Nothobranchius furzeri: one gene and its partner. Each later gene encodes a partner of the first gene's protein in a complex. Links are inferred from orthologs where the notes say so. Each region holds a gene or a part of one and is shown on either strand. Other genes may lie near its edges. The genes, in order: nhp2 and dkc1.

Region 1 (4,385 bases):
AAGAGCCGATGTAAATCAGGTGTGCTGAAGCAGAGACATGGACAACATCCAGGACAGTTGTCCCTGAGGACCAGGGTTGGGACACACTGAGGTACACTATGACATAAGCTGGTACTATATGATGTCACAATGCTGTTGTGAGCCTGTGTGTTTGTGTGTTTGTTAGTGGCTCCACCCTCTCACTCTGCCAGGCAACAGCATTTGTTGCACTTTTCAAACAGGAAGTGGGAGTGGAGTAAGCCTCTGGTAGGGGGTGACTTGCTCTTTAATGAGTTAACTAGCAACATTTTACAGATAATAATTATTGCTGTGTGGAATTTGTTGCATCTTTAAAATGCTTCGTAACATTTTTCTCACACACATTCCACTAAATCAGAAGTGAGATCAAAGAAAAGGTTTTTATGTGAGGGCGCACGGTGGTTGGGATGGGTAGCGTTCTGTCCACGTCCGTCACGGGCTGGGTGGGGGTTGAGCGGGTGCGCTTTGCCGACCTCCGGGGAGGCTTGGTACTGGAAGACAAGATGAACGGCTCTCTACAGAGACTCGGCTCTCATTGTTCACTTTGAAAACCAAAAGATTTGATTTGCTCGTGAATGTCACATCACTGCAGATAAATGAGTATGGAAGAAGAGGACAGAGCATCGTTCTTCTCCCAGACGGAGCAATAATCATACATTTGTGTCTCTGAGGACTACAAAGATGTCAGAACTAAAACAGACCACCAGCTGTTTTACATCCAGTGGTCTCCTTTAAAATGCAGCTGAACGCTCACCTGTTCAGGTGCTGCTACCTCTTCTTACTCGTTTTCTTTCTTCCCTCTCATTTTTATGTTAAATTTTCCATTTTCACAATTTATTATGTGTTTTTAATCATGTTTTAGTTTTGTTCTTGTGAAGCACCTCTTGACTCTTATCTTCAGAGGTGTTGCCCTTGTTCAGGCTGGCTTTTGTGTGACCTTCTTCACCACTCTCTTTATTCTGCTCTCCCCACCTATTCCACCTTCCTCAGGATCTTTCCCTATCTATTCACTCTCTCTCTCTTTCTTTACATTTTTTTAATCACAATTGTCTATTTTTTGCTCATTTTAAACATATTTTAACCATTTTCTAAATTATTTTTTTATGTTTTACACTTTTTTTTGTGAAGCGCCTCGTGATTTTCATCCTGAGAGGCGCTATAGAAATGATACTTTCTTCTTCTACACACACACACACACACACACACACACGCACACGCACACACACGCGCGCGCGCGTCTACAGGCCCTCTGTAGACTTTGCCGACATTTCCGCTCCTGGCCGCCGGGGGCGCTGTGGTCCAATGGTCCTGTTAGTCCGGGACAAGAGTTAAAACACGTGCGTGCTGGGTGAAAGCAGAAAGCAACAATCGGTTATTGATTATCAGAGATGACGAAGACGAAGAAGGAAAACGCGGATCCAAATGATTCGGTCGCATCGGCCGGTGGTTCCGAGAGGACCTACCAGGAGCTGGTCTCCCACCTGAACCCGATCTCTCAGCCGCTGGCCTCCAGGAAGCTCAGCAAGAAGCTCTACAAGTGCGTGAAAAAGGGTAAAAGACCACCGAGACCCGTTAGACCGGTGCTTGTGTCCCGCTTCTTTACCCGGTGTTTTGATTTCAGCTGCTAAGGTGAAGAACATCCGGAGGGGCGTGAAAGAAGTTCAGAAGTTCATCAAGAAAGGAGAGAAAGGGTGAGTTAGCTTCACGGTGCCCGGGTCCGTCCAGAACCTCAGTCCCCATTACTGTAGTGGTCCGGTCCGTCACTGTTTTCTGTCCCTCAGAAGAAGTTCCGCACTAATTTTTTTTTTATGTATTTAAATGTGAACATTATTCAGTTTTAGCGCATTGAACCATTCAGGACACCGTAGTCATCCGCGCGTTAGAACCTCACCTGTGCTCACCTGAACCCGGTCTGGTCTCTGCAGCATCGTGGTCCTGGCGGGCGACACGCTGCCCATCGACGTGTACTGTCACCTGCCCATCATGTGTGAGGACAGGAGCCTGCCGTACGCCTACGTGCCCTCTAAAACGGTGAGTGAGTGGAGCTGGGGTCAAAGGTCAGCAGGTGTTGTCAGGATTTCAGATTTCTCACACGTCAGTTTTAACCCTTGACTTCAAGTAAAACACACATTCTATGAGGTAAAGGGCTGGTGTCGTGGTTTTTAGATTCTGATTGTGTTAAACGTTATTATTACTATTATTATTACTACTATTACTAGTACTATTATTATATATGATATATGTGTATATATGATCCAACGGTTTTGATCTAAATCAGGGCCGTGTGCATATCTGGTCCATCTACACCGGGGGGAGGGGGTTCCACGTAGTGAGCTCAGAACGTCAGCGCTATAATGAATCCATGCTTCCGTACCACCAACGATGCTCGAGTGGAATCATCTCTATTTAAAGCAAGGCCCACAGGCAGACCCTGTTAATCGATACTAGATAAATGAGAATGGAAGAAGGTACAGAGCCTCGTCCTTCATCTGGATAGAGGAAGATTTACGAGGACTACAAAGACATCAGAACTAAAACATGCCACCAGCTGTTTGATCAAAGCTGGATAGCTGGAGTGTTTACAGGTTTCCATGGCAATGCCGAAAGTCCGCCTCAGCTCTGTTGCTGAGTTTTCATCATTTATATGTTGTTATCATGTTCTGCTCCAGGGTCTGGGTGTTTACAGTCTCGAGGACGTAGTTTTTGCTGAGCAGTAGTGGTGGTCACGTGACCTTAAAGTTGCCCGTTTGTCACAAGTATGTTTATGTTTATTTATTTGGCAGACGCTTTTATCCAAAGCGACTTACAATTTATAACCTATAGGGCGTGTTGTGATCTGTGGGGGAAACCGGAGTACCCGGAGGAAACCCGCGCATGCATGGGGCCAGAGTACAGCTTTTAACGCAGGGCTACTCGGTTAGATTTTTTGTTGGGCCAAATTATCATGAGGCTTTTGCCAGCGGGCCGTACATTTCCCCGTATCTCATATTTACCTATTAAAACAAAGTGCCGCTGCATTTTCAACAGTTTTATTGAAACAAGTCAAATGACATTAGGATTAACTGCTGGTTTTTAGTGAAAATAATAGAAACTGCAAAACATAGCCAACTCTGGTTTTAACAGAACTCCGAGTCACAAACTCAGTTACAGTACTTGTTTTCGCTTAAAATAAAGCCAAGAAAACATAACCAGCTGTAGTTTGACTGAAATCACGGTCACATAAAGAACACAGTAACGATAATTACAATGTCTTTTATGCAAATAAGAACAAACAAAACTTTCAATTAAATCACAAAATTAAACTACTGGCTTTTAAAGCATATAAATGAAAGAAAAGTCTGAGTCAACAACTCATAGTGACAGCACTTGCTCTGTGCTTAGTAAAGCGTAGAAAACAACCGGTTTAGTAGGGCTGGGGGTAAACGATTATTTTTAAAACGATTATTCTGATGATTATTTTATCGAATAGTCGACTATTCTAATGACTATTTAGAAAATTAATCTAATGATTATTTTTCTATTGCACAATTAACAAAAACCAGAAAATCTCAAATAAATTCCTCAAAAAAATTGATAAATTCTTACTGTAAGAGAATAAACACTACAGGCCTTCCATGCTTTTATTGTGTTGGTTGGTTATGTTCTGGTGACGTGTAGAACTTGGGAGTGCAGGCTGCTGCCTGAGAGGTGGTAGAAGATGGAGTGTCTCCATGCTGCTTTGTTTTGGTCACTTATGTGCGTGAGGCGAGTGGTCTTACGGGTTAAACCAAACTCAGGTGATATTTTACACTAAACCGAAAACCCACAACACTCTAAATGTAATAAAAGGGAGATCTGCACCACAAAAAAAGATGAACTCTAAACCAAAACGTAACAGCTTATCCCAACGCAAGAAGCTGTTAGCGAAGATGCTAACAGTAGCTTTACCAACGTTAAGTTCAAGTTACCAAGTTTAAATAAACCAAAAACACCCAGCAGCAAACAGACCAGCATGGAGGAGAGACCGTTACCACCAAAACAGCTCTCCTCATGTCTGAAAGAAGCTCCTTAATGAAGGGAGAAACGCTCCCGGTGATGTTCTACATCTGCGATAGACACGAAGCAGCGCGTCTGACCCCGGAAGTTGTTGTCCGTTGCCGGGAGACGAAGGGGCAAAACAGGAAAGGAATCTAGTAGTGGACGGACGTTGTTCCGGGTCTTCGGTATTTGGCGGAGATGTTAGTGAAGGCGGAGAAGAGGGCGAACTAGAGGAAAAACAGACAGATTCCTCCTCTATTTACAAACTCCTGGGGATGCAACAAGTGGGCGCGGTGCGTCGACTACCGGATCTGACGTCGACAAATTTTTAGAATCGAGCCGTCGACGTC
Region 2 (3,047 bases), on another chromosome or scaffold:
AGCTGAGAGTCCGAACCATCTACGAGAGCAAGCTGATCGAGTACGACCCAGAGCGGAGGCTGGGTGAGACACTCATTTTGACGCCGAGGTCATGAAGTTTGATGCTCTTCTGCTTTAAATCATGTTTTTCTTCTGAACAGGCATCTTCTGGGTCAGCTGTGAAGCAGGAACTTACATCAGGACTTTGTGTGTCCACCTGGGACTTTTACTTGGAGTTGGAGGACAGATGCAGGAATTGAGGAGGGTCCGGTCTGGAGTTCTGGGCGAGAAGGTCAGTGTGTGTCCACGTGCATCTTGCTGTTGTGATGGTTTATTGTATCACAGCTGGTTAAGTGATCGCAGTAGGAACCACGTTCAGTTCTCTAGTCCAAAGTGTTGAGTCCAGCTCTGCTGCTTAGTGCCGAGCTGTTAATTAGACTTTGGAAGAGTAAGCGCAGCGGAGCAACGATGGGCGTGCATGTCCGCCTGTTGAGACTCGGTGCTGCTAACATAACATCTGCTTTCAGGACAACTTGGTGACGATGCACGATGTTCTCGATGCTCAGTGGCAATTTGATCACAATAAAGATGAGACTTATCTGAGGAGAGTCATCTTCCCTCTAGAAAAGCTGCTGGTGTCATACAAACGGCTGATGATGAAGGACAGCGCGGTGAGTCTTCCTCTAGTCGGGGACAGCGTGTGACCGTCTGTGAACGGAGAACAATGCAGTGTGGGTTAAATCTGTCGGAGTGAACTCATGAGTGCCTCTACAGGTGAACGCCATCTGTTACGGTGCCAAGATCATGCTTCCTGGTGTCCTCCGGTACGAAGACGGCATAGAGGTTAACCAGGACATCGTTGTCATAACAACCAAAGGCGAGGCCATCTGTACAGGTGAGTCTGTTGTGGCGTGCTGATTTTGGTGTGAAGCCACATGATGAGTTGAGTAGATGCAGCAGCTTTCGGGCAGTGATGACCTGCTATCTATCACCCTTTTCTGATGGCCTCCAGAAGACCTCACTAAACTCTAGAAGGGGTTAAAATCACATTAACCACATCCTCCTCCTCCTCTAGCGGTAGCACTGATGACCACAGCAGTGATCTCCACCTGTGATCACGGCGTCGTGGCGAAGATCAAGAGGGTGATCATGGAGAGAGACACGTATCCACGGAAATGGGGTCTGGGTCCAAAGGTGGGTGTCGTGTTATGATAGTAAATGTACAAATCTGATTTTTTTTTTAATCTGCCAATAAACAAAAATAATTCCAATAACTTTGTAAATAAAATTTGAGTAGAAGAAACTGTTATTTATTTTTAATCAGGCATGTAAGAAGAAGATGATGATCAAACAAGGACTCCTAGACAAACACGGAAAGCCAAACGCCCAAACTCCTCAGGACTGGAAAGACGACTACGCAGACTACAGGTAGTGCTGCTGTGGGCGGGGCTTCGGCTGCAGACGGTTATCCCTTTTTGAGCTGGTGTGCCCTCTGAGGGAGTAAGTCTGCTAGAGAAACTCTCGTGTTGGAGCGCCTGTACTCAGCATGTACTGTCTGCTGACGGCGCCGCTCAACAGAGTACAGAGTCGTCATGAGCTGCGACGATGTCAATACATCAAACAGTGACTGACATTTTGTTTTATTTTTTGACAGTGTTACTGTTAAGGAAGAACCAAAAGACACCCCTGCTAAGGTAATACTGTCACATAGTGCTACCCCACTGGTGGTGATGGTGAAAACTGACCTACAGTGACCTCTGACTTGTAGAGAAAACGGGAGGCTACAGAGTGTGACAGTGAAACCCCGGAGACTCCTTCTGCAGAGGTAAAGAAAGAAAAGAAGAAAAAGAAAAAAGCAGAAATGGAGGAGGAGCCAGAAGTGAAGGAGGAGGAGCCAGAAGTGGCGGAGGAACCTGACACACAGGTGATTGAGCGTTTCCTGCATTCTCGTTCAACTTTTAGGTTCCTGGTGAATAATAAACTTAAGTGATGGCTTTTCTTCTGCAGGTTGAAAGAAAATCAAAAAAGAAAAAGAAAAAACTAAAGGAAGCCGATGCGTCGGAGTAAATCACTCGCTCCAAACACTTGTAACCATTTCCATCCTCTAAAGTTGACCTCAGCGAATCCCAGTGAAGAGCATCTTTGGCTAAATGGAACGTCCCCATCACTGCAAATCATCTGATCGATAAAAGCTGCAGCAGTAGAATGTGTTTGGGAAACCATGATAATGCAACTTTAAAAAAAAAATACCTTCTGAAGCAGCGTTGCCTCGTTTTAAAATGGCTTCTGATTCTGTAAGTGCTGCTAGACAGCAGGAGAAATGGGGTCGAAAGTAATAAGTTTGTAGATTTGGTTTTCAGCCTTCTGGTGTTTGGCATGGAGGCAGAAAGCATGCTCACTTGTAAATATCTAACTTTTTTATTTCAAAATAAATGTATTCTGTGTATAAAACGGGGATTAAAGTTCTCTCATTTCTAAGGTTTGGATGTCTGTGAACATTACAGAATATTCAGATTGGTGTAAAGAACATATTAACAGGTCATGATCTAAAGCTGTTCAAAGGTATAAAACTGCCCTGGGCCTAAAGCCCTGCAGATATATTTAGTTTCTATAAATACCAACAAATAAAAGCAGCTGGATTCTACTTTGTTCCTTAAATTGAGTCACGTTCCTGTAGCTCACACGTTCAACAGGGAGCTCTGCCAGCTGATTGGTTCTTTAACAGGGAGCTCTGCCAGCTGATTGGTTCTTTAACAGGGAGCTCTGCCAGCTGATTGGTTCTTTTGGTAACTACTGTAGTTCTGGTACTTACCTGCTGATGCATCCATCCTGCTATCGCTGTAGTCTGTTCACAATGGTTTAAACGTTAACACATGAACATGTTTAGATTATCATACATAGCTACGAGTCTGTTACTCTACTTCCCCCCCCCCAAAATGCACCAAATTGATGCGTTAAAATATAAAATGTCCAGTAATTTTTTTCGTGGGGGGCATGACACCCCTGGAGTAATATTTATCTTTTTTACCTCAGAGAAATCTCAACACCCAACACTGTGTATGTGACTG

Evidence for each region.
Region 2: nhp2 (region 1) and dkc1 share a complex: the UniProt entries of both Homo sapiens proteins name them as parts of the H/ACA small nucleolar ribonucleoprotein (H/ACA snoRNP) complex. The link is inferred for Nothobranchius furzeri from reciprocal best matches to the Homo sapiens genes NHP2 and DKC1.

The regions. Positions count from the first base shown.
Region 1 is NC_091750.1:25,734,625-25,739,009, forward strand, and holds the start of nhp2 (H/ACA ribonucleoprotein complex subunit 2-like protein), read left to right. Parts: upstream 1-1,293; 5' UTR 1,294-1,406; coding exon 1,407-1,569; intron 1,570-1,639; coding exon 1,640-1,709; intron 1,710-1,909; exon of another isoform or gene 1,910-1,943; coding exon 1,944-2,049; intron 2,050-4,385. UniProt on the Homo sapiens protein: Required for ribosome biogenesis and telomere maintenance. Part of the H/ACA small nucleolar ribonucleoprotein (H/ACA snoRNP) complex, which catalyzes pseudouridylation of rRNA.
Region 2 is NC_091758.1:16,257,895-16,260,941, reverse strand, and holds the end of dkc1 (H/ACA ribonucleoprotein complex subunit DKC1), read left to right. Parts: coding exon 1-63; intron 64-140; coding exon 141-271; intron 272-506; coding exon 507-650; intron 651-753; coding exon 754-874; intron 875-909; exon of another isoform or gene 910-986; intron 987-1,054; coding exon 1,055-1,173; intron 1,174-1,303; coding exon 1,304-1,407; coding exon of another isoform or gene 1,408-1,411; intron 1,412-1,633; coding exon 1,634-1,673; intron 1,674-1,747; coding exon 1,748-1,903; intron 1,904-1,986; coding exon 1,987-2,046; 3' UTR 2,047-2,457; downstream 2,458-3,047.